4 linked regions of the Elephas maximus indicus genome follow. The protein of the gene in region 4 interacts with the protein of the main gene of each other region in a pairwise test. Links are inferred from orthologs where the notes say so. Each region holds a gene or a part of one and is shown on either strand. Other genes may lie near its edges. The genes, in order: TRIM54, BCCIP, CCND2 and CDKN1A.

What was found.
Region 1: the proteins of CDKN1A (region 4) and TRIM54 interact in binary tests that used the Homo sapiens proteins (3 or more experiments, as listed by UniProt). The two-hybrid records come from large-scale screens. The link is inferred for Elephas maximus indicus from reciprocal best matches to the Homo sapiens genes CDKN1A and TRIM54.
Region 2: the proteins of CDKN1A (region 4) and BCCIP interact in a two-hybrid assay, tested with the Homo sapiens proteins (2 studies listed by BioGRID, with this or other methods). The link is inferred for Elephas maximus indicus from reciprocal best matches to the Homo sapiens genes CDKN1A and BCCIP.
Region 3: the proteins of CDKN1A (region 4) and CCND2 interact in binary tests that used the Homo sapiens proteins (3 or more experiments, as listed by UniProt). The link is inferred for Elephas maximus indicus from reciprocal best matches to the Homo sapiens genes CDKN1A and CCND2.

The regions. Positions count from the first base shown.
Region 1 is NC_064830.1:45,785,248-45,793,154, reverse strand, and holds the start of TRIM54 (tripartite motif-containing protein 54), read right to left. Parts: upstream 3,016-7,907; coding exon 2,848-3,015; intron 1-2,847. UniProt on the Homo sapiens protein: May bind and stabilize microtubules during myotubes formation.
Region 2 is NC_064834.1:75,789,266-75,796,505, reverse strand, and holds the start of BCCIP (BRCA2 and CDKN1A-interacting protein), read right to left. Parts: upstream 3,012-7,240; 5' UTR 2,972-3,011; coding exon 2,813-2,971; intron 1-2,812. UniProt on the Homo sapiens protein: During interphase, required for microtubule organizing and anchoring activities. During mitosis, required for the organization and stabilization of the spindle pole.
Region 3 is NC_064822.1:60,743,800-60,751,285, reverse strand, and holds the start of CCND2 (G1/S-specific cyclin-D2), read right to left. Parts: upstream 3,019-7,486; 5' UTR 2,789-3,018; coding exon 2,594-2,788; intron 850-2,593; coding exon 634-849; intron 1-633. UniProt on the Homo sapiens protein: Regulatory component of the cyclin D2-CDK4 (DC) complex that phosphorylates and inhibits members of the retinoblastoma (RB) protein family including RB1 and regulates the cell-cycle during G(1)/S transition.
Region 4 is NC_064819.1:100,349,766-100,357,368, reverse strand, and holds the start of CDKN1A (cyclin-dependent kinase inhibitor 1), read right to left. Parts: upstream 3,006-7,603; 5' UTR 2,915-3,005; intron 1-2,914. UniProt on the Homo sapiens protein: Plays an important role in controlling cell cycle progression and DNA damage-induced G2 arrest. Involved in p53/TP53 mediated inhibition of cellular proliferation in response to DNA damage.

The sequences.
Region 1 (7,907 bases), on a different chromosome or scaffold from region 4:
AGGAGGTTAAGGCGGTGCTTTGTGTTTTATTCAGTTTAAATTCAGAGAAACAGAGATGCATTACGGCTCCAAAGAAAACTAGTTAAATTCTAATGGCAACTAGGTCAAAATATGTTATGTATGGGGACAGGGACTTGAAGTAAAAGGCAAAAATATGATTTCCTCCCATCCCCTTAATACTGTACAATATTTTCAATTAAATGCTTTTATCTTTTCAAATCTTGTTTGCTGGCTCTCTGGTTAACCTGATCTTATAAAATCACAATTCCCCAAAATTCCTGCTTCACAGAAGCCTTTAGAGCGTTATGTCCATCACAGCAGTTTTTAGAGCAGCAAAACACTGGACAATGTTTTAGAGGACTGCTAAAATAGACTGTGGTCCAGCCGTAACTAGGGAAAACCACAGAACCATTAAAGAGAAAGACACAGATCTGAATGTGTGGGGATGGAACAATCGCTGAGAGTGAGTGAACAAAGCCAAGTGTAAGACAATGAGTCTAGTATGCTCTTATTTGTGTTTAAATATGCGTATATAAATACATAAGTGCAAACATGTACCTCTCCACAGAAAATTTCTGGGAGCACACCTAAGAAAGCTGGGAATGGTTACCTCTATCCAAAGAAGGAGACTGAGGGTCTGAGGTGAGTAGCAGATTCACTTTTCATGATATAAACTCCTATATTATTTGAAAAAAAAAAAAGGTATGTGTATATGTATATTGCTTATTAAAAATATATGATTGTCACTTTTTAACTTTTATAATAATGAGTCCTGTTAACTTTCCAGGCAATGTTCTAAGGTGTTCTTCCTAAGTAGTTTTAAGATCAAAACAAAACAAAACCCATTGCTGTTGAGTCAATTCTAAGTCATAGCAACCCTATATAGAGGAACCAAAAGCCCTATTCTTATCCCCATACTCAGAAAACAGACGATCTGATTGTGCCGAGTTGTCAAAATGTGGAGGCAATGTGTGAAAAAACTAAATATGTTCATCTTTTAGAGGGGGATGTACTGAGATGTATATACATAAGTGTGGCTGAAGAACTGGGTCAGCCTCCCACCAGGCCTTCCCAAATAAAACATGAAGGAAACAAGCTGTTCACTCTTATCTTCTTGGAAGGCCCAGGGGCTGTTCCACATCACTCCCAAAGAACCATCCCGAAGCCTGGAATCACATTATCTCCCAAATAATCTGTACAGTGTTGGACCCAAACCCAAACCATCCCCAGTTCTCTCTGGGCCCACATCAGTATTCTAGAGCTTCATGGGACCAAAGCAGTGTGCCTGGGTACAGAAGACCAACTGGAACAACAGAGGTCATTTAAACATCTTCTAGTCTCCATGTATGTGACCTATTCCTGGGTCCCACCACACAATTACTGTGTGGCTTGTACTTTAATATCCTGACCACTTTTTTTTAAAGGGCACATTACTTTAGCTTTCAAAACTTCTTTTTGCTTTCACATATTTCAGGTTCAAATGAGGGGTGTTTCAGTATAAATTCATGAGATTTTTGCCATCCCCCCCACCAGGCACCTCAGTCTAAAGAATGTTCAAAATTAGACCAAGGGAAAAAACAGGATAGTGGACAAAGTTGCCTCTCTTATATGACTTGATGACCGGGATGAGCAGGCATAGGAGTCTACACCCCAACAGAGGGAAAAACTTCTGGCTTTGTACTCTAGAGCCAAATAATGGCAGGTTTGGACACTTGGAGGAATAGGGGATGGAAATAGGCCTCGATGAGAAGACGGTAAAAGAGACTGCAGGTTGCTAGGCGGTAAGGAAAGATGGCAGACAGCTGACGGGCAAGGGCACAGCTGCAGGACAGCCCCATCTTAGTTTGCCCTTCTTTGCCCCCAAAGAACTTAAAAGGGAAGCATTTTCTTGGTTAAGTTAAAAATCAATTGTGTTCAACACATTTCCTCATAATTTCTGATACAGATGAAGAACTTATTCGTGAAGTTCCTTATCACTGTCATACATACAAAGCCAGCTCTGGCCTATTTAGAGTTATTTCATTTGCAAGGTATCCAGGTCTTTCCCTCTCACTTTCTCTGATCTTTGTTCCATTTCATAGCTTACTAGTACTCCAGTGTAGCACAGGGCAAGAAAGAAAGCTCACTTATAAACCACTCTGGTATATGCTGCTTTTATATTTGAAACCAGTGGCTAAAATGGTATCTGTGAGATCGATTAGTTATGGAAAGTAAAATTTCTTATCTCCCTTCTCTCTGTTTAAGTCAAGTGACCTCAATGCTTTTCACCAGTAGGCCTCTTTACTGAACACTCTGGAGCAGAGCACAGGTTATGGATATAAGCTGGGGAGAATTCCCACTGTGTCTAACACTGCCCCCACAGAATCAGGGAACTGAGCTTTGTCTTAAATACAAGTAGTTTCTCTGTCATCACAGACCTTTTCTCACAGGATTTATCTTTAAATATTTTATTATCTTGTTGATCTTCTCCCCATATTTTCCATATCACTCTCAAAATCTGAAGCTCCACACTGGAGTGCAGTCTGTCACAGGCTGTGACAGGGCCTGGTGTGGGATCACCTCCCTCCCAGTTTCTATGGGATCTTCTTTCCTCTGTAGGTGCTGGCATTCCAGCTGCTGTACTTCATAGGCTGCACCACCAGCCTACGGCGCAGCTGCTGACTCATGCTCACTTTGGGACCTGCTAGGAGTCAGGCCCTTTTTCTGCTCTTCTGTCACAACAGCCACCACCCACCTCACACAGCATGGTACCCATCACCTTCTCGGGACTCAGCTCTGACCTGGCTCGAAGTCTTATTGCAAGTCTATGTTTCTTCACCCGTCCCTACCCCCGCCCGGGGAGCCCACCTGGAAGACGTCGTTGGCACACTTGCGGCACAGGTTGTGTTGGCAGGGCAGGATCACCACCGGTTTGGAGAACATCTCCAGGCAGATGGGGCAGATGAGCTGCTTCTCCAGGTTGTCCATGCTGTGTGCATCCCCTAGCAGCGGCTTGAAACCCACTGCGAAGTTCATCCCCTCAGCGATCGTGCCTGCCCTGGCCTTGGCCCTGGTCCTGGCCTTCTCTCACTAACTCTGGACCCTTCCTCGTTTACTTTAGACAGTCTGCAGATTCTTATGTTCCCTTCTGTTGCTCACTCTTGAAATAGCTCTGCTATCTCTCCTGTCCTTCCTCTAACAACTTGCCTCGTCCTTAGATGGCTGTCTCCAGACACTTCTGTCTCACCCTGTTCTCTGCTCTATGCCCTAGCCAGGCACATGTAGCTTAATCTATCCCTCCCTCTGTCCCTGGAAAATTCTCCTTTTGTTTCTCAAACGACTTTCTCTTGTTCACTCTGTGGGCAGCACTGTTTGTCCCTCACTCCACAGAGAGGAGATTAACTTTAACATGGGGGTGGGGAGGCAAGGGGCATCTGTATGTCATTCCAGCTCCCAATTTAGCTCATGTAAGGCGAGCCACAGCTGTCATTGAGTGAGTGACCCTGACTCACTCAGGAATGGGTGGCTCCCTTGAGCAACAGCAGGGAGTGAGCTTCATTGCTTATGGTGAAGGGTATGCTAGCAGAGGTGTCAGTCTCTCATTTGCTTCCCCTCAGAAGGCTCCCGTGAGCCCCTGACCTCCATGCTCTGGCTTGGGCTCTTCTTCCAGGGCAGTGACACAGAATTCTAAATTAGCCCGCGTGAAAGGCACTATGCAAGTCCCAGGGTGGGAGGACAACTCTCGCCAGACCTACAGTCAGTGACAGTTTCCTCCTCCACAGACTTAGCCAGTGACCCTGGCCCTCCTCCTTGAGACCCCGTGATTCAGAACAGAGGCATCAGAGACTAGAGAGACATTTCTGGTTCATTCTGTTCTTGCCCAGCCCCTTCTCATATCACCCTAGGAAAAGGAGCTAAAGAGGTCAGAGGTGGCTGTTGTGCCAGGGCCTGGAACGCCTTTACAAGAATGCCCCTGTGAAAGTGTAAGATTCTGGTCCATGAACACCTCACAGGAAGAACTCTGATGACCTTTAACTTTGTTAGGAAATTGGGAGAAGGTGAGGTGGGCAGAAAGGACCTGAATGCCAGGGACCTATTTTGGACACCAAGGGAAACAGTCTCCAGGGAAATTTTAGAGCACTGACAAAATACATAATCACAAGGCTCCAGGAAGCTTCTGCCCCAACCCCACAGTTGTCCTGGACTCTTCCTCTCCAGGCCAGGCTGGTCCCAGGTTTGAACACTGGCCCCCTATCTTTTTCTCCTACACGCTTTGTTCTTTATCCCAGGCCCAATTTGTCTCCCCAGCCCCCTATCCCCGGCCAAAAAAAAAAAAAAAAAAAAAAACGCACTGGGATTGGACAAAAGCTCTTTATTTACTGACATTTCTTAGCCCTTATCTCAGTCAAGGGAGAGAAGTTTCAGGAGTTACTAAGCTCTGACCCTGGGTGTATGGGGAATAAATGGTGTGGAGGAGATGCCAAACAGGCAGAGCAAAGAGGCACATGTGGGGAAAGGGTCTGTAACAGTCCTTTCCCTATCACGTTTCATGCCCTTGTTTTAAGAATAAAATACCTGGTAATGAGCCTCTATAAGATGTGGTAGAAAGGATGGAGGCAAGCAAGCACTGATGTGTGAACTCCTGTCAACCTACAGGACCAATATTAATGGTTGCTGTGCTGGTAGCTGAAGTCCAGGGAGAAACCAAAGGTGGGATGACTACTCCTAAGCCTCAAATACACTCATACTTCTCCTGGGTTGACTCACATGACATGGAATGTGGTGGGCAATGCCAAGGGCATGGGCACCCGAAGAAGGTGAGACTACTCCCAGAAAGCTGTAGTGGCTTAAGAATGAGGCTGACACAAGGAGTTCTTGGTACACAGAGTTGTAAGAGAGGAGGGTTAGCTGGTACAGCAGCTCCAGGGATGGGATTCACCCTGCCCAGGCATCAGGATCTTGGTGGAGATATCGCAAGTGGCTCAGGGACCCGACCAGCTGACACTCAGTCAAATCCCAAGGAAAGCACAGGTTAAACAATCTTCAGGAAAAGTTTGCCACCACTGCCTGAGGCCTCATAAGGGTAGGGATGGGAGAGCTGCTCTCTGACAGATTGACATTGGTACTGGAGCTAAAAAAGAGTAGCTGGGCAACCCTGTATGGCTGGGGTTGGTGGTACTATTAAGAGCAGAGATGGTATCCTCACTGGGATGGACAGCATCAGTGCTTCTGAAGTTGGAATTCTTACAAGAAGAGGGGTCAAATCAGGTTCAATGTCAGGACAAGCCTACTTGCTCTTCTCTTCAACATGTCCAGTGGACTGGGCAGCAAAAGGCACCCTCATTGGGTCAGCACCTATGGGGAGAAGATGTTGGCATCTTACTAATCAGAAGGAATGGTCACCCTGAATTTAAAGCAAACCCCCTATGAGTAAGATCATAAACACTTGTAGTCAATACTACAAGGATATAAACTTTCCACTAATCACTTATCTGAGGTTAATCTATATTCCTTCCTTATCCTTTAATTATTTTTGCCTTTCAGTTTTCATACCTTACTCTTCCGCATCTTTTAATAATGATCTTCATCGACAGAATCTTGCCCTCTTCTAAAATTACTTTGGGTTGCTATAATGGAATTTGAAAAACAAATATATAAATACTTAGCAAGAATTTTTTAGTCTACTGGTGAGAAAATAAGAAGCCCTGGTAGTGCAGTAGTTAAGCACTTGGCTGCTAACCAAAAGGTCAGTGGTTTGAACCCACCAGCCGCTCTGTGGGAGAAAGATGTGGCAGTCTGCTTCTGTAAAGATTACAGCCTTGGAAACTTTATGGGGGCAGTTCTACTCTGTCCTATAGGGTTGCTATGAGTCGGAATCCACTCCACGACAAGGGGTTTGGTTTGGTTGGTGGCGAGAAAATCTTTACCTTGCAGTTACTCACTAGCATCACTAGGTGGCAATATGTGTAAACTTCAGTCAACCCACAGTTTTAAAGTTTAACTACTTGGGGTGGAAATCTCAAACATTTCATTTTCCTTTTGAGTAAATGCAATAAACTGCAGCCTCTAACCTGTTTTCAATTACTGCATTTTCTAGGCTTACTCTCCCACCCCATTCCTTAGCTTAATAGTCATGAGAGGCCAACACTACATTCAAACTGTCATTTGGGGGCATAAGCCCTTCAGAAACAGATCTTATCCACCTCTTCTTCACTTACTTAGGGGTTCACAGTTTCACAGCGCTTTCTCACCCCCAACTATTTCTTTCATTCTTAATCCAGATTTATCTCGCTGTTGTTGCTAGGTGCCAGTTGATTTCAAGGCCTAGCGACCCCATGTGACAGATTAGAACTGCCCTAAACGGTTTTCTAGGCTGTAATCTTTACAGACGCAGATCACCACATCTTTCTCCTGCAGAGCTACGGGGTGGGTTCACACTGCCAACTTTTCAAGCACTTAACCATTGTGCCACAGGGCTCCTCAGATCTTACCTCAGTTCCTGCCTATCCTTCTCACCTGATCTCGAAGGCTGATTCCGGACGTTTTGTTGATTGTTTCTCTTAGCTGCCTCCTCAGGTGGTGGCTTAAGTGCTCCGCAGCAAAAGCAACAGCAGCAACAGAAACAGCAACAAGTGAGCAGGCAACATAGGAGGACAAGTGTCTACAAGCAGGAGGGAATGGTCTCAGTCCAGCAGTCCCTTCTATATTGCCATCCAAGCTTCCCTCCCTGAATCCTCCTAGCACCCAGAAAATGGGACAACAGATGCATTTGTCCTAGGAGAGGAGGGTCAACTGGCCCTCCTTCCTTGGTCTTTAGGGACTAGGAAGAATTGTGTACCTTGAACCAGCAACTATTCGCTATAAAATAGTATCTGACGCCTTCTTCGCCAAAGTGATCATATATATATATTCCCAATGAGCCATGTCGGTCGTAGATTTTCCGCTTCTTAGGGTCACTCAGTATGGCGTGGGCTGTGTTGATCTCTTTGAATATTTCTGCTGCTTGAGGATCTCCTGGATTCTTGTCTGGATGATACTTCAAAGCCAGTTTCCTACCCAGGCAATACCCATAAAGGAGGGTGGAGAGGGGATGGGGGATGGCTGGGGAGGGAAGGTTAGGATGAATTACAGGGATGGGCCTCAGAGAGTACAGAAGGAATGCATGAGATGTGGTACAAGGGATGGGGACAAGCAGCGAAAGTCTAAATTCCTTCCTGTGCCACACTGAAGAGGATGCTGGCCCCATCTGGCCCCAAAGTGAAGGCTTAGAGTTTTAGAAATGGGTTTAGAAAGCAAGGTAGAGAGAAAAGGGTTTAAGGGGGAAAATTCCAGGGTTAAATAAGGGGCTGAGATTTGAACCTGTAGGATTTTTTTACTTCATCAGGCGAGGCACCCTTCTTAAGCTCCAGCACTGCATAGAGGCTTTTCCCACTTCTAGACAACTGGCGGGCTGCTTCATCCATATGAGCCATAATCTGGGCCAGAGCAGAAGTATTTGTGGTAACTTTCACAGGTGAGGCTGTGAAGAAGTGAGCTTTCAGTGACAGGGAATTCGTCTTCATGGGTTAGGCATGTAACTGATTACAGTGGGGCAAGTATAAGGCAACAGTGAGTGGGATCTGTGACTAGCAGGAGCGTGCAGTTGCCCAGAAAAGGCACTCAAATGCAAAATTTAAAGACGAAACATCCTCCCCTCAAATTTCTCAGTGTCCTTCAGCTACACAGACCTCCAGACACCGTACCTCCTTGAGAGGCTACACAAGGAGAGGCCTATGTTGTGGGAAGAGATTCATTTTGTCCAGGGCTCCTACTGCCTTAAGGCAACAGCCCTGGGCTTGTCCAAGCTCACTGATGGGTTTAGAAGACTAGGGTGGCGCCAGCTCCTTAACAGGCTGGGTCAGGAATCTGGAAGATCTCCTATTACCAAG
Region 2 (7,240 bases), on a different chromosome or scaffold from region 4:
GTTGTTAGGTACTGTCAAGTTGGTTCTGACTCATAGTGACCCCATGAACAACAGATTGAAACACCGCCTGGTCCTGTGGCAACTTCACATCATTGCTGTCTTAGTCATCTAGTGCTGCTATAACAGAAATACCTCAAGTGGATGGCTTTAACAAAGATAAATTTATTCTCTCACAGTCTAGGAGGTTAGAAGTCCGAATTCAGGGTGCTGGCTCCAGAGGAAGGCTTTCTCTCTCTTTTGATTCTGGGGAAGGTCCTTGTCATCAGTCTTCTCCTGGTCTGGAGTTTCTCAATTTAGGGACCCTGGGTCCAAAACACGTGCTGTTCTCCTGGCTCTTCTTTCTTGGGGGTATGTGGTCGGCATCCTGTCTGCTCACTTCTCTCTTTCATATTTCAAAAGAGACTGACGCAAGGTACAACCTAATCCTGTAGACTGAGTCCTGCCTCATTAAGAGAACTGCCTCTAATCCTGCCTCATTAACATCATAGAGGTTAGGATTTACAACATATAGGATAATCACATCTGATCACAAAATGATAAATAACTACACAATACTGGGAATCTTGGTCTAGCAAAGCTGATAAACATTTTTTGGGGACACAATTAATCCATAACATTTGCTATGCTTGAGCCCATTGTTTCAGCCATGGTGTCAATCCATCTCGTTGAGGGTCTTCCACTTTTCCAATGACCCTCTACTTTATCAAGCATGATGTCCTTCTCTAGGGACTGCTCCCTCCTCATACCATGTCCAAAGTACATGAGATGGAGTCTCACCATCCTTGCTTCTAAAGGGCATTCTGGCTGTATTTCTTCCTTGTTCACTCTTCTGGCAGTCCATGGTATACTGAATATTCTTTGCCAACACCATAACTCAAAGACATCAAATCTTCTTTGATCTTCCTTATTTATTGTCCAACTTTCACACGCATATGAGGCAACTGAAAAATACCATGGTTTGGGTCAGGCACACTTTAGGCCTTAAAGTGACATCTTTGTTTTTTAACACTTTAAAGAGGTCTTTTGCAGCAGATTTGCCCAAAGCAATATGTCGTTTGATTTCCTGACTGCTACTTCCATAGGCATTGATTGTGGATCCAAGTAAAATGAAATAAGAGCATTATTATATGACGATAAATAATTGGTTAATGTGCTCAGCTACTAACTGAAAGGTTGGTGGTTCAAGTCCACCCAGAGGCAGCTCAGAAGAAAGGCCTAGCAACCCACTTCTGAAAATATGCCAGTGAAAACCCTACACAGAGCGCAGTTCTATTCTGACACACGTGGGGCTGCCATGAGTCAGAGTCAGCTGGACAGCAACTGGAGGAAAAACCAGTAAGTGTTTACCATGTGCTGGGCACTACCCCGCATGCCTGCTGTGTCCTCTCACGCCTTACAATTACCCTGTCAGGCAGATGTTTGTTCCAATTTACAGAGAAGGAAACAGGATTCAGAATGGACATGTAATTTAGAAGGGACATCACTGAAAAGACAGTTGTTGAGCAATGATGTGCAATGATGGTTGTAGAGTCAATGAGAAGTGTGCGGGTATTGAAGGTGGAGCTAACAGGATTTAGTGATGGACTGGATGTGGGGTGAGGAGAAGGGAGGCATTAAAGTTAACTCCCAAGATTTGGGTTTGAGAAACTGATGAATCTGGGGACAATTTACAGAGACAGAAAACTAGGAGAGGAGGTGGGTGGACCGCAAGTTCTACTTTGGATAGGTTAAGTCTGAGGTACCTATTATGCATTCAAGGAAACCCTGATGGTGTAGTGGTTAAGAGCTACAGCTGCTAACTAAAAGTTCAGCAGTTCGAATCCACCAGGCACTCCTTAGAAACCATATGGAGAGGTTCTACTCTGTCCTATAGAGTTGCTATGAGTTGGAATCAACTCAAAGACAATGGGTTTGGTTTTTCTTTTTTTTTTTTTTTTATGCATTCAAAAGCTTCTGTGATCGAGTTGACTATGACTCATAGCAACCCTGTAGGACAGAGTAGAACTGTCCCATAGGGTTTCCAAGGAGCAGCTGGTGGATTCAAACTGCCAACCTTTTCGTTAGCAGCTGAGCACTTAACCACTGTACGACCAAGGCTCCATAATACTTAGCATTAAGTACTTAATATTTGTTGAATGCGTAATTAGAGCTGGATGACCCTTAAGACCACTGAATGCTTAATACCAAAAACAAAAAAACTGTTGCCCTCCAGTCCTTTTCGACTCATAGAGACCCTATAGGACAGAGTAGAACTGCCCCGCAGGGTTTCCAAGGCTGTGATCTTTATGGAAGCAGACTGCCACATCTTTCTCCCGTGGAGCAGCTGGTGGCTTGGAACCACTGACCTTTCAGTTAGCAGCTGAGCACTTTAACCACTGGCCACCAGGGCTCCTTTGTAAGCCTGTGGGGTAGAAAGGCACAGGAAGCCTTCAGGAAGCTGAAATCGGGCCGTGTGGCCGAAGCTGCGGAGGGAACAGGGGCAGAGCTGCGGCAGAGGTGGGCAGACGACAAACTCTGCAGGCCTTGGTGGCCTGGGAAGGATTTGGAGCTCCGGCCTGAGAACTACGGAAAACGACTCATGCCTGTGGTTGTGGCGGGTTCTCCCTCTGGGATGGGGGTGGGATGACAAGGCTGTGGCTGCAGTGTAGAGAAGACTGAAGTGGACTTCAGTAAGCAGTTACCATCCCCAGTTTCTGCCTCCAGACCCTCAGGGACGGGGAAGCCGCTCCTCCAGGCGGCTCAATTTCCACGTGGCTTTGACAGCCAGTGTCTTCCCGGATATAAACAAACCGAGGTAGCGCGTGGTGCTCACCTCGTCGACGACCTCGTCGTCTTCCTCGCCACTATCTTCCTCGTCTTCCTCCTCATCCTCGACTCCATCTTCCTCTTCTTGCTCGTCGCGCTGGAGCTGACCGCCCGGCGGCCGCGGAGCCCCGCTCTCCACCGCACGCCGCTTGGACCTGGACGCCATGTTGCCGCCCCAGGCACCGCGCCTGCGCACCGCCCCCGCCCCGACCTTCCGGACCGAACCACTCAAGGAAGGGGGAGGAAGACGGTGAAGAACCTCAGGGCTGAGTGGACGCCAGCTCCAGCGCCTCGGCTGGACTTCACGGTCGTAATTTCAGAGTTAAGTGCAGTTTGGGGGCTCTATCGCGGCCAAATTCTCTTTCTGTTCTCCTTCCCTCCAAGGCTACTCCGCCCCTTCACAGAGTGGTACGAACCGCCAAGCCTTCGCCTCGCCCCCTCCGTGACCTGGCTGTCGGCGCGCACGCGCGGGCTCCCAGCTGAGCAAAAGGGGCTCCCGGACTCGCGGGCTGGGGTGCCGGGTGTCCCCGCGGCGCGGGCACGGGGTGCGCGGAGCCCACCGATGCCATTGCACCTGCGGCCTCTGCCTGGGGCCTGCAAGGTGCGCGCCCCCGACTGGGCTCCGGCTTGTGGCGGGCGCAGCGCAGGGCTCGGTCCCGTCTCAGCCCACGCGTGCCCCCGCCCCAGGTAGGTGTCACCGCCCACCGTGCGGAGGAGGACAGCCCGCAGGGGTGAGGGACAGAGTGGGGAGGGGGCCCGAGGCGTCGCCCTTCGGTCCAGCCCGCCTGGAAGGTCACCTGTCCTGTCAGGTTCCCCAGGGCAGGTCAGACCCGACCCTGCCGTGCAAGGGCCTCCCTCGGTGTCTCCCCGCACAGCTCCGGGCACACACTTGGCAGTGATGCAGTGAGTCGGGATCGAATCCCCTGACGCTCTTTAAATGCATATTCTTGGCCCGAAAGTTTAAAAAAAAAAAAAAAAAAAGAATGTGTGAATCTTAAATGCTCAAGGTACTGGTGGGATAATCTAAAGGGGGCCCTGGTGGCGCACCGTTTAAGCGCTCAAGCGCGTGGCTGCCAACTGTAAGGTTGGCAGTTGGAGGCCACCCAGCTAAGCTGCTCAGCAGGAGAAAGACCTGACAATCTGTTCCTATAAAGATTAACCTGTTTCGGTCAGTGGGTTCTGACTTGTAGTGACCCTATAGGACAGAATAGAACTGCCCCATAGGGTTTCCAAGGCTGCAATTTTTTTTTTCAATTTTTATTGTGCTTTAAGTGAAAGTTTACAAATCAAGTCAGTCTCTCACACAAAAACCCATATACACCTTGCTACACACTCCCAATTACTCTGCCCCTAATGAGACAGCCTGCTCTCTCCCTCCACTCTCTCTTTTCCTGTCCTTTTTGGCAGCTTCTAACCCCCTCCACCCTTTCATCTCCCCTCCAGGCAGGAGATGCCAACATAGTCTCAAGTGTCCACCTGATCCAAGAAGCTCACTCCTCACCAGCATCCCTCTCCAACCCATTGTTCAGTCCAATTCCTGTCTGAAGAGTTGGCTTTGGGAATGGTTCCTGTCCTGAGCCAACAGGTCTGGGGGTCATGACCACTGGGGTCCTTCGAGTCTCAGTCAGACCACTAAGTCTGGTCTTTTTATGAGAATTTGGCGTCTGCATCCCACTGCTCTCCTGCTCCCTCAGGGGTCTCTGTTGTGTTCCCTGTCAGGGCAGTCATCGGTTGTAGCCGGGCACCATCTGGTTCTTCTGGTCTCAGGATGATGTAGTCTCTGGTTTATGTGGCCCTTTCTGTCTCTTGGGCTCGTAATTACCTTGTGTTCTTGGTGTTGTTCATTCTCCTTTGGTCCAGCTGGGTTGAGACCAATTGATGATGCATCTTAGATAGCTGCTTGCTAGCGTTTAAGACTCGAGACGCCAAGGTTGTAATCTTTACAGAAGCAGATTGCCACATCTTTGTCGCTGCAAAGATTACAGCCTTGGCAACCCAGTGGGGCAGTTCTACCCTGTCATATAGGGTCTCTGTGAGTCTGAATGGAATCAGCTACTGCAGTGGATATGAGTGGAGGGGACTGGCCAACTGGAGCGTGTATGCCCGTCTACAACAGACACCTGCTGCTCAACTGCAGCCAGTTACCAAAAAAAAAACAGTTCCTGTGAAGCAGACTCCTGGTGAGCCCACAGGTGTCAGAAGCAGACTCCTGGTGAGCCCACAAGTGTCAGAGTAGAACGGTGCTCTACAGGGTTTTCAATGACTGACGTTTTGGAAGTAGATCACCACGCCTTTCTTCCAAGGTGCCTCTGGGGGGACTTGGACCTCCAACCCTTCAGTTAGCAGCCGAGGACTTAACCATTGCACCACCCAGGAACTCCTTTGGCCAGTTTTAGCCCTGTGGAAATGTAGGCCTCATCTTGTCGGATCTTTCCATTTGAAGAGAAGCTGGAGTTAGGGATTTTTACATGAAATATGGATTTTTACATATAATACAAATATAACCTGTGCCCAATAAAATGCATCTACCAGTTAGATTTAGCCCACAGGCTACCACTTTGCAGCCTGTTTTAAAGACTTACTTGGCAGAAAATAGGGAAGGCACCAGCTTTCTGAGGATGGGGTCTGTGATTCTCCATTTTTTTTTTTCTCTAAATGAGGAAAGGGTTACATGTGTATGAGTCTGAAAATGGAATGAGCTGCCTCTACGTAGTGAGGTTACCCTTGCTCAGGAGGTTTAAGCAGAAGTTTAGTGGCCTTTTCTCAGTGATTATTCATCAGCATCCCTGAAGGTCCCCGTTACCCCAGAGTCTCCGTGATTGTGTTCTTTGAGTTCCATGTTTTCTGGAAGTCTCTTGTCTACCTGGTCACAACATGGGTATTAATATACTTAGACATCAGGGCTCTGGATGGGTCCCCCAACTATGCAAAAACACCTTCCCACCATGTAGAGGGAGTTGTGGTGGCTCAGTGGTTGAGAGCTACGGCTGCTAACCAAGAGGTCAGCAGTTTGAATCCACCAGCTGCTCCTTGGAAACCCTGTGGGGCAGTTCTACTGTGTCCTATAGAGTCACTGTGAGTCGGAATCGACTTGACAGCAACGGGTTTGGAGTAGGTTACCATGTACAGGGCAGGCTGTACCATGCTGGCCTTTTGGTAGAGTTGCACTCAGAGATCATGGATTTCTTGATAATTTTTTTCTTTCATAAGAGAAGGGCGAAAACATCCTTACTTTGTGTCCACAGAGTAGTTCTCAGGGTTGAGCACATGGTCAGACTGTGGATTAGAACGGCACACGTGGAAAAATGGCCCACCTGTGGTTTTGTCATTTAAGAAAACACTGTACTGACCCCAAGGAACTTAGCTCCATTGGAGATCGCTTATCCACTGCCTCAGCCTTCATCTTTAGCTCAGAGAAGCAGAGAGGTGGTTAGGAAAATGAACCTGGGCTTCAGACCTGGATTCAGATCCCAGCTCTGCTACTTTCTATACTGTGTGACCTTTGCCAAGTTATGCAAACCTCTCAGAGCCTTGGTTTCCTCCGGTGTAAAATGAGGATGATACTTACCTCACAGTTTTAAGTGAGAATGAGACCTTGCATGTGAAGTGTTTGGCCCAGTAAACACCAAAAGAGTAAGTGCTCGCTATAGTGATAGCTGCTGTCACTGTTGATCATCAGGCTGTGTCAGGTTAGAAAGTGTGGGTTTGAGGCCTGACTCCTTCTTACCAGTGAAGTGGCCTTAAGTCACTTCCCTGGTTTTCAGAGAAAAGGCGGTTGTTTTCCCTGGTTCAGAGATGCTGGGGAGGTTGAAAGCATTCAGAGTGGACAGGTATTTCCTGAGCCTCTCCTATGGGGAGGAAAGTCCCTCAGAAAAACCAGCGGTCCAGAGTCCCCAGCCCATTTCACAAATGCAGAATTGAGGCCCAGAGAAGAGAAGCCCAGACCAGAACCCTGGCCCCCTAGTGCAAGTACTTTTCCATTCCACCCAGCCAACCTAGGCTGCCACAGGGCCTACTCAGCTGAGAGGATCAAAACTTCAGGGATGTCTGTAAACCCATCACTGGTACACAGGTGGGCCGGCACACTTTGGTGCAGAAAAGGGCATTTTCAAATACGGTATGTCCGAAATGAATCTTTTGATTTCCCCTCCCTCGTTCTTGTCCATCTCATGCTACATGTGACCGTATTTCCAGTTGTCCTGGTGATAAACCTTAGAATCATCCTTGGCTTCTCTTTCTCTCCCCTGCATTCTATTGGCTCCACCTTCAAAATAGATCCAAATGCTGTCACTGCTCCCACTTCAGCTAGTCTAAGCTGCCGTCATTCCTCACAGACTGTTGTAATAGCCTCCTGTTTCCAGGCCTTTCTGCCTTCAGTCTCTTCTCCAAATGGCGGTGAAGTGGTCCTGTTACAGTATAAGTCAGAGCCTGTCAG
Region 3 (7,486 bases), on a different chromosome or scaffold from region 4:
AAAAAAAAGTTCCCTGGCAGAAAGCTAGAGGCAAGATGGGACCACCAGGACTGTACAGAGGTCACAACCCCATCAGAGGTACAGGCACAGGCCTCGGACTCCTCTAGTGAAAGGCTAACATTTGATTTTGCTCAAAAGCTAATGAGCTGATATTTACTGTACAGCTACTATGCGCACGTACTATCTGAGACTAGACAGATACACGACACTAGCTTTAAGCTCCAGGTTTTTAGACAAACCAACACATTCCTATTATGTAAGCACATTCCTTATCTTGTGAGATGTCAGACTACATTCTCAGAATTCAGTGACTGAAAATGTGAATTTAATTGAAGTATTATCCTTGTACTCCATCCTTCCTCCACACACACACACACAATTACAAACGAATCTCACCAACACAAATCTCCATGTTGGTCTCATTTGTCCACGTAGCCTCTGTGCTTAGAACACTGCCCAGCAACACAGTAGGAACACAAAAAACAGACATGTGAAAAAAGTGTGAACCTTCTAGTGGTGGGGAAATTTGGGATCCTGAGAATTTGTTTTGGAAGGAGTAGGCAGAAAGCACCTTAGGCCAGGAGTAAACAGGGTGAAGAGCAGCAAGGGAGGGAGGAAGGGAGCAGTCATTACCAGCAGTTCCTGAGGCTTGATGGAGTTGTCGGTATAAATGCACAGTTTCTCGGCTGTCAGAGGGATGGTCTCTTTGAGTTTAGAGGCCAGGAACATGCAGACAGCACCCAAGAGTTGCAGGTGGGACTTAGGGGTCGGGACCCCAGCCAAGAACCGGTCCAGGTAATTCATGGCCAAAGGGAAGACCTCTTCTTCACACTTCTGTTCCTCACAGACCTACAATAGGAGTGGGAACGGGTTGGGAGGGGAAAAAAATAGTACAGAAAAAAGAAGAATAAAAAAAAACTATGGCAAAAACAAAAAAATATTTAATTTTTGTGGGGAGGGGGAGGGGGCAGACTGCGTGACAAGAATAAAAATGAAGAAACTGGGGTAAACCTAAACAGCCCATCCAAGTTCGAGTACTCCTCGGAAGCCTAAAAAACGGGGTGAATTAAAGATCCAAAGCGGGGAGTCAGAGAATCGCGCGGTGGCTGCACGACGCTCCCTTTAGCCACTCACTTCGTTGCTCACTCTCTAACTCACTCTTTTTTGGATTTCGTCATCTTTTCAAAAAATCAATAAAAATATTCTGGAAGCTCCAGGGGTCTCGTGCTTGGTCCCATTCGGTCCCCCAGACCCTGCTCTATCATTCCCGACAATTGGAAAAATTGCCGGCGGGGGTCCCTTCGGCCCAGGCGCCGCTATTGGGGGGGTGGGTGGGGAGAGGTGGGGAAGAGAGGGGGAGGGAGAAGAGGAAGAGCGCCGCAGCCTCGGCAGCTGGAGTCGGAGCAGGGGGGACGGTTTCAAAAAATAATTAAAAATCGAGAAAATATCCTAGAAAAGCCCTTTCGGCGTGAAAACCCCAAGGAGGAGCTAGACTTCCCAAAACGGAGGTTTCGGGTGCCGGAAAGGTCTGTATCTCGACCCCCGGAGCTCTGGATCCCGGGGGAAAACTTGAAGGGGTAAGAGCCGCGGCGGGAGTGTCCGGCTGCGGCCCACAAGGGCAGAAACTAGGGAGCGTGGTGACCAGCTGGGGAAAAGACGGGGGCCGGGAAGCATCCGGAATGAGGCACGGGGGGATCTGACCTCTCATTTAGGGGTGCCCCGATATCCTCCCCCACACACACCTCCTCCCCCCCTTCCTACCCCACCCAACTCTCCGCACCGAGGAAGCAGGAAAGCCAAACTGTAAGTAACCTTCGTGAGGTGGGGGTCGGAGGAGAGGGCAAGGTTAGAAATGGGGTGGCCGGGATACGAGGGTGCGAGGGGGAGCGGGCGACGTCTCCAGACTTTCCAATCGGACTTTGCAAAGCAACATGGCGAAACCACGGCAGGTCCAGAGCTGTGCATACGTGGGCACACAGTTTGCTCGGCAAAGATTTGGAGCAAGGGTAAAGAAGTGGCTCTTTTGGGTTCCCCTAAAACACACGTTTCTTCAATGTGACTTCCGGGGCTCCTGAATTCCCCGTTTCTCTCCTCCTCCCGCCTCCCTCCCCCCCCTTAAGTGCCAACGCGGAGTCGCGACCACACGCGGGGACCCGAAGCTAGGAAGAATTTGCTTTGGCATTTTGGGGGGCTACATTTTACTGTGGGTCCCCATGTCGCGCTCCTACTGCCTTCTTCACCGCACGGAAAGCAGCCACTGCTTCGCAAAAGGCAGGTCGGGATGGGGGTGGGAAGAAGAGGAAGCCACATGCAGGCACACGCGCGCGGGATGCTCCCCCACCCCCGCCCCAGGACAGCCTTGTTTCTCCCGGATTTTCCTCACCTCTCCTCTCCCCCTCCCCCAAATTAATCTCGCATCCAGCAAAAAACCGAAACGAAGCCACGCGTCCCACCAAAGGGCTCGGGATAACCTCGCGCCCAAGAGCGGGGAGGGCGGTACAGAGACTACCCTGTCCAGTTTCAGGGTCCCTGCGTGGGGGCTGTGAATCGGGGTGGGAACATGGTTCCTAGAGAGCGTTGCCTACGTCCCTACCTCCAGCATCCAGGTGGCCACCATCCTCCGCATGTAGGGCTGGATGTCCTTCTGCACGCATTTGAAGTAGGAGCACTGTGGAAGGTAGCGCTCCTCGATGGTGAGCAAGTTCTGCAAAATGCGGTCGTCGTAGAGCAGGTTGGGGTCTGGCACGGCCCTGCGGACCGGGTCCACCTCGCAGCACAGCAGCTCCATGGCGAGCCGGGCGCGCACTGGTTCCCCTGCTCTCTTCCGACTGGAAAAGTTTTTTTTTTTTTTGGAGGGGGGAGGGGAGGGGGATCCCCTTACCGCCTTCCTTTGGCTAAATAGAGGGTTTTCGGGAGAAAGTTCGGGGCAGAGAGAGAAGCTGGAGGAGAAGAGAGGAAAGGGATAGGCGGTGGGAGAGGAGAGCCCCGGGGGCTGCTGAACTCGCGCCTGCCCTCCCCTTCAAATTTGTCTCGCTCTGCCCAGCTCGCTCTTCTCTCTGCACTCTGAGGCAGTGACGCAAGCTGGCTGGGCAGTTAGTTCTCCTCCCTCTCGCTTCGCTCCCCTCTCTGGTTCCTCCTCCTTTTCCCTCCCCTCTCGGTCCTCCCCTCCTCCTCCTTCCCTCCCACCCTTCCCCTCTTGTTATTAAGGAGAACAGCAGCTGGCCCGACCAAACTTCAAACGCGGTCCCCCGCCCCCCTACCCCTCTCCTTAGCTCTCCGAGGCCCTCTCCCCCTATCCAGCCCCGCATGCCAGGGGCCCCGAAGAGGGGAACCCACAAAAAGACCGATTCCTATGTATGCCCTCCAGTGTCGTACATTCTCTGTAGGTATATCAGACCAAAATGCGATCCTCCAACTTGGGCTTCTTCAAAACTGGTCCAAATACCCCCGCCCTTGTAGTCAAGATCCAGGAATGGCGGGTAGATTACTTGGACATGGGGTAGGAACAGACAATTGAGAAATTGATCTCATAAAAGTAATGAAGTGATTTTATGAAATAGCAACCACGCATACTTGAGATGAAACTTATGTGTCATATACCTTAAGTTTATGTTCTGGTCATCTCGAAGCCATTTGAAAAGCCTGATTAAAGGGACAAGGGCATCACCCCCCCCTCCAGACGTGCGTGGAGAGGAAGAGGAGGAAGGGGTTGGCGTTGGGGGGGGGCTGTTTCTCCGAAGAGATACAATATGACCCTTGAGCAAAACTCCTGTTCTTGGGGCACTAACGGAGTCAGTGGAGGACGCAGTGATGGGCCCAGGGCTGCTGCAGACCGGGGGCAGGGCTACCAGCGGCTCCTCCGCGGCTGGCGGCCACGCAAGAAAAACCCGCTTCCTCGCCTCTGCATCTGCTGACAAGCCGCCCGAGGTGTCAGTGCCGAGCGTGGCCACACTGATACAGCTTTCTAGGAAATAGCCCGGGAGGGGGGAGGGGAGGGGGCGAGGGAGGGATTAGGTTTGGCTCCCCCTCTCTCCCCCTGCGCAAACAACACCACCCCTTCCTTTCCTCAGAGGCCCGAGATTTCTACCCTAGGTCCTTCGCCTGCATCCTCGCCGCTTTCCCCGGGGTCACGCCTCACTCGCCAACCAGGGCTTTCTCCCGGGGAACGGGTTTGCGGTGGAGACATTGCCAGCGCAGCCCGCTCTGACACGTGCTCACACGCACCCTCGGGTCAAGGCTGTTTTTACAGAGGAGATGGTGGCGTTTCCTTACCTCCTTCCTCCCGCCACCCTGCATTGCAGTGCTTTTCACTTTGGGAGGAAAAGGAGTGAGCCCAGCGCCCCTAACCTGTTGGTCGAGCTGGCACGTGCAGTGAGCTTGGCGTGGTTTGGGGCTCTCTGGACACAAGGAGGTGGACCCAGGACCTCCTTCTCCAAGAATGGGGGCCGGTCCAGGGACAAGGAGAGCAAGGCGGGGGTGGGTGGGTAGGGAGGCCGGGCAGGGTGAGCTGTTCACAAGGTTCCCTGAAAGGCGGAGGAGGGGAGGTGGAAAAGAGAAGGCGGGGAAAGAATATACCAGAGGTGCAGGCGATTAACTCAGGCCCCGAAGCCAGCCTCTTTAAAACCAGGGTGGGGCGGAAGGGGTGGGTGGTTGTGGGGTGGGGGGGATATCGCTTTAAAAGGGTGAGTAAGAGTTTGGGGCGCCGTCTCCCCTCCCTCTATTTGCATAGCCAATAGCTCTGGGGCTCCTGCTACTGCGCGCTGATTGTTACCGGGCAGATTACTTTTTTTTTTTTTTTTTTTTTTTTAGTAGGACGCGTTCCCCGCTACATCAAAAGGAAGCCAAGGGAGGGCGGAGGGAGAGCGGGGACTGGGGCGGGAGAGGGCCGGAGAGAAGCTGGGGCGTCTGCGACCTTATCAATAGCCGCGGGAATTAGTATCGGATCTACTGTCTGTAAAGAAAGGGGAGGGACGGGGGCGGGCGAGAAAAATGTCTTAATTGCTGTGGAAGCCATTAGCTTTCGGGAAGAAAAAAAAAAAAAATAACACTGAAAAAACCAAGTTGCAAACTCAAAATGAAACAGTTCCGCGCAGCGGATGACACCCGGGCTGAGTACAGTGTTCACAGGAATACAGTCGGGTCCCTCACAATCACCTATTGATTTTAGTCAAGTTGGACTTCCCGACTTAAGCTTTTGACTCACTCCGGATAAATACACTGACTTACATTTTAAGACCCCATAAAGGAATTACTCAAACGTCACCTCAGCCACCTTTGAGTGGATCAAAGAAAGCTGCTGGGGCGGGAAGGGGGAGAAGGTGCAGGTTGAGAGAGGTATTTTTAAAGTATAAATCTAACCCGACAGGCAAGGACAGAAGCCTAAGAGAGCTTTCAGGCTCTTGACATCACTTGATAACTAACCAAGCACGGTCTTTTTCTCCACCTCCCTGCAGCGGAAGCCTTTTGAGTTCAGGGTTCCCTGAAGGGGGCCTGGGGAAGAGACGGGTGGTCGTCCCCAGGGCCTCGCCCACCCCGGGGACAAAGCCTGGGTGGCGAGTGCTCCAGTCTCCGAGTGAGCCGAGGACTCTCTCGCCCCTTCTCTCCCTCCCTACCCCACCCCCGTCTAGCTTTACAGAGAAATTCCGGGGAGGGGGGGCGTTGGGGCCTGTTAGAGGGGAGGGACGGAGAGCGTCGGGGTGGATGCCCCCCTTCCGGCGGCCCTCTTCATTCTTGGAGACCCGCGAGTTCGGGCGCTTCCCGCGAGGCAGGCTCAACTTTTGAAAGCCTCTTTAAGTTCCCCCATTCACTTCCCCTTCCTATTGCGGGCTGTTCCCGAACATTAACCTCGCTTCGAAGCCGTCCCCCTGTCGTTTTTCAGTCTCTTAACATGTGGGGTGGGGCGTGAGAGGGTGCGGGGGTTGGCAGGAGCTTCTCCAGGAACCTTGGACTGGAAATTGAGTTTTCCCTTTTGCTGGCCACTTAGACCATGTGTTAAAACCTGAATTTTGCTTGTTAAAAAACACTCCGCCTAGCACGCGGGAAAAGGCACGTTGCCTCCTGGGCAAACGTGCGCTCATTTTCTTTGAGTGTACACTCAGGTTTAGAGAAAAAGTGCAAGCGCCTTTGCTCTGGCTTTGAACTCAAACTGGGCACTGTGGGGAAAAAAAAATGTTGGTTCTTCCTTATCCCTTTCTCACCTGTCCTTGTAGGATCGGTGATAAACTTTAGCGAACACAAGTTTTATTGGACTTTTATTCCCTCTCTCCTCGCGGGCTCCCCAGCCCCCACTGCTCGCGTTTCGGAGTTTCGGTTGGAAAGTGTACAAAACCCTGTAGGTGTAGGGTGCAGCCGGGTGTTGGGTGTTTATAGGCACATCTTTGCAGGAACCTGCAAGCTAAGCACACACACTCCCAAGCTCACCTGGCAGATGCCGAGCCAGCCAGGTGATCCCGCGGTAGGCTCAAAGCTCAGGAGCTGCGCGGGTTCGAATCTGGCCGCCCCTGCACAGAGGCGCTCAGGCCAGGTTGGTGGGAGTTGGGTTCAGGCGCAGGAACGGGGGCCACCGCCCCTCCCCCAACTCTTCCAAAGAATAAAGCTGCGTTTGTGTTTCATCCATTGAGGAATGGATGGTCAGAAAATTGAAAACAGAAAAACCCGACGGTCATTTAAAAGTAGATGGTGAAGGGCCCCCTGCCTCAGTTCCTGACTGCCCGAGAGCCGGGGACGGAACTAGAGGAGGAACAGAAAGAGAACTGGGAGGTGATGGGGAAGGAATAAAAGCAAATTAGGCGGAAAAAAAAGTGAGAAAGGAAAAGACCGAAAGGCGAGGAACCGAAAAGCACAGGCAAAGAAGGAGGGTGGGTGGGGAGCAGGAGATTCGAGGCTCCGGGAGACTCCGGCAATGAGCTTCCAGGTGTGAACCTGCGGCCCGAGATCCCGAGCTCCGCGCTTCGGGGGGCGGGGGGGAGACCCTCCAACCCCGGACCCCTGCCCATCGGATCTCGGGGACGCTCAGGATCCAGTGGGGGTCAGAGCCAAACAGCCTGTTTATTTAAACTGCGGGTTTGGGGTACTTGAGCTTGGAGCGTGCGTAATCCTGAGGCAGCAGATGCGGTAGGCGTGGGTCAGAGACGCAGCGCCTGCCGTCTGTTCACCCACCTAGCATCTAATTCCCCTTCGTCAGGGGACGGGGGCGGCGGGAACTAAAAAGACCCGAACTTCCCCCTCTTCCTGTCTGATTCAGCTTCAGGACACGCCTCACAAGACCGAAAATAGCCCTGGAAATGCGTTTGTTTTATAAAGTGAATTTTCCAAAAAGATTTGGGGCGGGGGGCGTCTGGCTGCCGGCGTCGGCGGGGCCCTGCCTCCCGGGAAGAGAAGGAAGCGGCCGCTTGGCCCGTCCGCCCTCCCCCGGGCGCCCCCGAGAGGGGGCCGCTGGGCGGCGGACTCGCGCCTCCGCTCGGGGAGCCACCACGCGGCTTTTTCG
Region 4 (7,603 bases):
CTACCCCACCCCCCACCTCTCACAATGAACAGGGAGAAACAACTTTAAGTCTCAGCTCACTGGGGAGGGTGTAAAGGGCAGGTGCTCAAAAGGCTATGAAACTTATTCCGAAATCACACAGTTAAAAAGGAAAGGGCCTCTGTCCCACAAAGGGGGCAACGGTGCCGTGGGCAAATCCATCGAATAATCTTTGTTGGCTCTCTTCAGGGCAGGGGGTGAGATTTATTTATATATTTTTATGTGCCAGGGACTGGTCTAAGCACTTTACAAATATTAATCCTCCGAGCACATGCGTATATATTAGCTCCTTTACACAGAAAAGGGAACCAAGGCTCAGAGAGGTTAAGTAATATACCCAGGGTTACAATGGATACAAGTAGATTTGAATCCAGGCGTGTCTGCCCTGAGTTCTATGCTCTCAGCCCCTACACCCTGCTCCTTCTCCAGTTTTGAAGTTTCTTAACCAGGTATGTCCAGCAGGCTTACCTGGAGGGCTTTCTCAAAGCACACATTGGTGGTGCTCCTTCCCTAGACCATCTTAATCCAGACTGGATTCAAGCAAGTGTTTGGTGCAGCTCCCCAAGAGGGTCTGATGGGCTCCCCTGGGGTGACAGCGAGGCGCACAGAAAGGCTGGAGTGGGGATTCTGGGTCTCCACGACCCAATGGCACAAGGAGGAGGAGCCCGCTTTACGGTGAGCTGGATATTCCCCGGCTTCTAGGAGCTGAAGATGGGTCCCGCAGGATCCCTCTCCCCTTCTACCATTCGTTGCCTGATGGCTCTTATGGGCCTCTCCTTCCCCATTAAAATCTGCTTTCACGCCCAGTATCATAACTCCCAGCTCAGAAAAAAACACAAACCCTCGTTTTACAAAGAAGAAGAGCTTCCCTCGTTGGGCTGCGTGTCTTAGACCAAACCCTAGTGTGACACTTCAGCCATATTTTAATCCCCAGGTAAATAGTAAACGCTCAGTAAATACTGTTGAACCAATGGGGTACTCTTTTTAAGTGGCGGTATGGGGAGAACAAGGTTGGAGCAGCCCAGGGGTAGCGGCGGGAAGGAAAGGCGGGCGAAGCCTGATTCCGTTGGAAGGGATGTTTGCTATTCCAGACAAGGCCGGGAGGGGGCGCTGATCTCCAGGAAATCACGCGCAGGGTGGGAGGTGCGTGGGCAGAGCCTTAGACAGCGAGAGGGACAAATTGTGATGAGTCAGTTTCCTGCAAAGCGCTCCCGCCAGCCAAAACCCCCCTTCCACTCCTGCTGCGCGTCACCCTGGCGTAGGGAAGGAGGAGACTGCGAGGGAGGGGCCGGGGGCCGCGAACACGTCACTCTAAGCGGGCCCGGCTTCCGAAACCCCCGCCGCTGTTGGGAAACCGCGCGTTCTCGCGCCGTCTCTGTCACACACATACACACACACGCACGCACGCACGCACAGGCGCGCCAAGATCTGGCCCTCCACCTTATCTCCACGCCCAAAGCACGGGATGAGTCAGATCCCTGGAAAATAAAAATAGACGGGAACAACGAAAATAAAACCGCTCGAAAGTCCTCCCCGAATCGCTACGTGGAGGGAGGGAGACAGGGAGGGAGCTGCCCCGGTGCCCCAAAGTACCAAACCGAGTAACAAGATACTTTTCCGCACGAGAAGGGTGCAAGGGTCCACCGGGCGCCCAAGACAGCTCCCCAAGTGACTCTGATGGTGCCAGTGGTCCGTGGTCCGCCCTGGGTGGCTGCGCCCGAGCGCGATTCGCCCTTCTGCCCCGCTCAATTCTTTGGCCCTCGGAGAGGGAGTTTGGGGCTATGCCGGGGGCGCCTCGAGTCCCTGGATCCGAGTCCCGAAAGACACAGGCCTTGGACAGCATCTGAACCCTCGGAAGCCCCATCTCGCAAAGACGCGCCCCCTCCCACCTCCCACTCCGCAAAGATGCGCCCCCTCCCACCGCCCACCCTGGAGTGGGCTCAGCTCCGGCTCCAGCTCCGGAGTCCAGCGTCCCAACCCGAGGACAGGCTGGGCGGGGTTCTCCCGACGGCGGTGCGAAAAGGGTAGATGAGACCCCTGCGCTTCTCCCACGGAGAACCCGCGCCGCGCGGCAGGAGCCGGACCCCAGGTCCTGGACCTTCCAGTGCCCCGGCTTCCCCGGGAACACGCTGTGCCAGCCAAGTAGGTCACTGTGTTGATGGGGGACTGAGACTGCGGAGGGGCGGAAGGCTTCTGGGGCGCCCGCCCCCCGCCCGGGCGGGGTTTTGATCTTACCCGGCCCGCTCCCCGGGGTCTCCTTGTCACCGTGAGTCACCTCCTCTCTTGTTCTTAAGGGACGTGTCCTGGCACATTCCCGAGGGCCGGGGACACAGCCCGCGCTGACCTCAGCGCCAAAGGGGTGTCGGGCACGGCGGCGTCGGGGATCTGGACCTCACGGGCCTGGGTCCTGGCGGCACGAATTGGGTCCGAAAGCCAGAGAGCGGCCCCGGGGCGGAGCCCACTTTAACCTGCTCAGCGCTCCCCCGGCGTCCCCCTACGGCCTGCGGCGGCCGGGGCCTCCGGACCACGACGAGAGCCAAGCGGCACGGGGGGTCAGGGGGGCTACCCTACAGCCGCAAGCTCCGAGGACGGCCCCACCCACGCCTTTCCTAGCTCCAGGAGAGTTTCAGGGAGAAGAGAGCGGGCAGAGGATCCCCAGTACTGGTGCCCTCCCTCCCGCCTTGAGGCCCCAATACATCCCGACCCCCGTCACACGCACTTACAGACACTCGTGCGCGCAAAGCCCAGCGCACAGACACACGCCTGTCATTCACCTGCCGCAGAAACAACTGTAGACGCAGCACACACACACGGACACATCCGGACACACACGCAGACACACTCAGCTCAGAGTTGCCGGCCCAGGGTCTGCTCTTGTCTGTCGCGGCTCCCTCACCTCGTCTGAGTGGCTCGCTGTCTCTGCGAATCCGCGCCCGGCTCCGGGTGTCCAAGCCACTGACTCCAACAGCCGCTCACACCTCAGCTGGTGCTGCCTGGCGCAGCCTTGATATATAGCCACGGCTCAGGCACGCCTCGGGAGGCGGGACCCGCCGCTCGGCCCACCGCGCCGGGGACCGCCCTCCCCGGGGGCCCGGGCGGCTCCGCGCCCGAGTCTGGGCGGGGTTCCAGGCCCTGGGACAACTGTAGGTCTCGGAACCTCGGGAGCTGCAGGAGGCGCGTCCCGTCGCTCCTGGGCTTGCGCGCTTTACACATTTCTCCACGAATTGAGCCACAAACCCGGCTTTTTCCAGTTGAAGAGTGAGTGGGCGCTTCGCAGGACCAGGACGGCGTAGTTAGGAGGACCCCCCCTCCCTCTTCCTGGCCCCCCGCTGGCGGACTCCAGGCAAGGACTTACCCATCACAGCTGAAAAGATCACAAGGAATGGCATTAATAAATAATATTCCATAAATAATAAAAATTATGTACCTCACTTTGCAATTCCCAGAAAAGCCTCACTATCCCACCACAATTCCCACAGAGCTCTCACTAGACCACCTCTCCTTGATGCACGCTGGGGCAACCAGACACCCTAACAAGCATCCTTGAGGCCAGAACAGAATTCGATCTGCTTTATTTCAAGATGAGGAAACAGGCCCAGTAAACCTAAGGGGTACAGAGCTGGCGCTTGTCAAGTGCCTCAGAGAAAGAGGGAACTGGGGACACTTCAGAAGGACCAGCACGGTTTCCAGGAAATCGGAAAATGGAACCAACCTCCCCGCCTGTTCCTCTCCCAGCTTCTCACCTCAACAGAAGAAACCACTGATTACAGCAGACTTGATGTTTAAGAAGGGCAGAAGGTCATTACACACTTTTAAGAAGTACCTATATGGGATCAAAGTGACAGCAGCAACTGGAAAGATTCAATAGGAACCTTAGAGGGCAGTGAGTTTATGTTAATGGGGGAACAACTCAGAAATGGAGGGTGAGAGTGGCTGCACAACTCAAAGTCCGTCATCAGTGTCCCTGAATTGTACGTGTAGAAGTGGTTGAATTGGTATATGTTTTGCGGTGTATATTCTTAGCCACAACTACCAAATCAAAAAAAGAAAAAGAAGGGGAGAAGGATTTGGTGATTTATCTCCTGGATATTCCCACACACACTTCACATTTCCTGTGGGGGAAATTGTTGCCCAGAGAATCTAAGTGATTTAACTCAGGTCACACAATAAATAAATGGCTATGGCAGGGCTGGAACTCAGGTTTTTTACCTCCTGCCATGCTTCTGCCTGCTGCCTTCTCTGCTTCGGTGACTCTAGAATGGGGGGTGGGGGGAGGGACTCTGCAGGACCCCTCATTTGCAGGCAGCTTACTGAGGTAACATTAAAGCCAGACAATTCTGGAAGTGTCCGCTGGTGTTTCTGACAGATACAGAGCCACGTGAGATGTCCAGCCATTCCCACTCACCCTCACACCTTAGCCCCCCTTGCACCCCACCTTTGCCTCTTTCCTTCCCCTGATGCATTTGCAGTTTGTGCTTTAAAAAAAATTATAAAACATGATGAACGTGTCACTGAACGGTACATGTGAAGACTGCTGAAATGGCAAACGTTACCTATTATTTACCACAAAAAAAAAAAATTTTTTTTTTAATATTGCAGAGAATGGAGTGTAAATCTGAAGAGAAATCCCATTAAAAAATAGAATCCAGGCTCTTGGAAGGGCTGTAATTACTGACATCTCGGGCTGTTGAGTGTCTGGAAATCTCTGCCCAGACATGCCCAGTCTTCTTCCTCTAAAGCAGCTGACCTCAGGGAACAGGCTTCTTCCTCTAGTGTTGGGATGGGAGCCCCTGTAGAAGTGGGAGGGTGCTGCCCCAGACCCCTAACTCTGCCTGGACCTCAAGTCAGGCCAGAATTGTCGCTGGACCTCAGGAGGGTCCCAGAGAAGTTGAGGTCCCAGGGCCGCCACCCCCCAGCACCTGCCCCCACCTCCCTTCCACCTACACCACTCAAGTGCTGGGTTGTCAAATGTCCAATAGAGGACAAGCACATTCCCCAGCTGCCTTGAATCCCCCCAGCTTTCGGGCATTTCAGATAGACTTGACATTATCTGTCTGTTTACTTTGGAATTTTTTTTTTTTTTAATGAAGGCTTATATTGAATTATTTACAGTTTTGTGGTACTGAGATTCACAATGAAATAATTCTTTTTGTTGTTGTTATTGGGAAGTGAATTTTTTAATAGCTTCTAGCTCCCCACCACCACCATAATGGGATTCAGCAAATATTTAGTAAGCACCTACTAAGTGTCTAGCACTAGGTACGTTAAAAAAAAAAAAAAAAAAAATGTTTGCAGCATGTAGCCAGGCACATCCTTCAAGGGAGGATTTCTGTCTTGAAGAGGGCAAAGGAGCAGGTTGTTAGAGGTCACAAGAGCTGATTCTCACCTTGCATGCATGCATGCGCGCGCACACACACACACACACACACACACACACACACAGCTGTGCCAGTTCCCAGACCAATCCCAAGAAATCTACTGCAAACCAAATTTTCTGTTCCAAGGAACTCAGGCTCCTGAGGGAAGACTCTGACCCAAGGAGGCCAAGATCTCTCTGGAGTGTACTGCAAACCACATTTTTTGTTCAGTGAAACTCAGGCCCCTGAAGGAAGACTCTGACCAAGAAGGCCAAGATCTCTCTGGGGTCTCTGGGGGTTCCCCATCTCCTACCACACCCTCCCCACCCCAAAATAGAGAGCAGCCACCAGCCTCTTCTATGCCATGGCTCAACTTGTTGGGACATGTCCCTAAGGGCCAGAGGGCCGATGGGGGCCACTGCCTGCTGCCCAGGCATGCTCCCCAGGAGGCAAGCAGCTTAGGGATGGAAGGAGTCTCAGCCTAGAAGACAGGAGGGTCTAGGCCAACCCCACATCCCCACCCAGCAGGCTCCAGATAATGGAAGGGAAAGGTGGAAAGCACAGGCCTGAGGAAAGAGGATGTGAGGAGGGCCCCATGGTGGCTGCAGGAGCTACCCAGGAAAGGAGAGGAAGTGCTGGGGATAATGTCACCATTTCTCAGAAGAGGTCTGGGGAGTCCCAAAACAGGGACAGCCAGCTTTCAGAGGAATTCAGCTCCACACAGAGTCCCAAGAAGCGAGACCCCAGAGAAGAAGCAGAGCAGAGATATTACACCACCAAGCAGAATAAGTAAGCCCTGCTTTTTTTTTTTTTTTAAGAAGAATGAGATTGGGAGCCCCCACCCTCACCTGATTGGGGGCTTTATGCAACCAGCACAAGGGTCAGGGCTGACCATACAGAGAGGCACAGAAATTGTGACAGAATTTGTGCCATACAAATACTTCTAGTCTCCCTAGCTTACTAGCCAAAGCCTGAAATTTCGCCATTAGAAATTAATTCCTTTGACTTAGATTTGGTTCTTTGTTAAATAAGATCGTATAGGAAAAGTGCTCAGCATAGTGAAATCACCTCACAAATTTTAATTATGATTACTGCTATAGGACAAACACTCTGAGAGAAGGCATCCCTTGGAGTTTAGTAATCATTTGCACTTTTGTGAGTGTCTTTGGTATGTGTCCCAGAAAACACACTCTGAGCAGAGATTTTCATGCAGGAGGTTTATTGGAAAGTGCATTCAGGATCAACACCTATGAGGGTGTAAAGGAAACAGGATCCAGCAGAAGGAGGAATTGGGCTGTGGTGAAGGCTGATCCCGCTGGAAGCTCCAGAACTAGGGTGGTTCTGCAGAGTTGCTGAATTGAAGCAAGGGGGCTACTGTGACCAGTGGCTTGTGGGGACAGAGGGGTGGCAAGGGAACTCCCTTATCTGAGGCCAATTCCTGAAGAAGGACTCAGTTGTATTAACAGCCAACACTCCAGACCAGGTCCTTCAGGGGTTCTGGGTGGCACAGCACAATGTGAATGACTTAACCATTTAGGGACTAACCTGTTGCCGCTAAGTCGATTCCAACTCATAGTGACCCTATAGGACAGAGTAGAACTGCCCCACAGTGTTTCCAAGGCTGTAATCTTTACAGAAGCAGACTGCCACATCTTTCTCCCACGGAGAAGCTGGCGGGTTCAAACTGCTGACCTTTCAGTTAGCGGCCAAGCGCTGTAACCACCAGAGTTCCTTTAGGGACTAGAAAGAGGCAAGGAAATGCTATGGACAGAGGCCACCTGAGGAGCAAAGGGCCCCTCTGTCTCTTTGATCATAGTGTTCTCTCTTCCTGGTATGGGTTTCCCTGACCAGTCTACCTCACCTCCACTCCTTTCTCTGCCTGTTGAACTCCTTCTGATCCTTCATGATCCAACCCACATGCCCCTTGGGGGTGAGGTCTTCTAGGGCTCCCTTTGGCTTCCAACGCTCTTGGGGTGCAAGCCTCTCAACTACGCTGTGCTGGCATGCTTGGTCTTCGTGCTGAGTGCATCCTCTGAGCTGGGAACCTGGGGGTGGGGGTATGAGCTCATATTTTATTCATCTTTGTACCTTCTAGGCCTAGCAGCCTCAGCTTGGAACTCAGTGAATATTTATGCAACGGCCATTTTTGGCCTACACTCTGAGGTGAGGCTTCAGTGCCCCTGTTTCTGAGCCCTCTCTTTAATAGTCATCCATCTATTCATTCATTC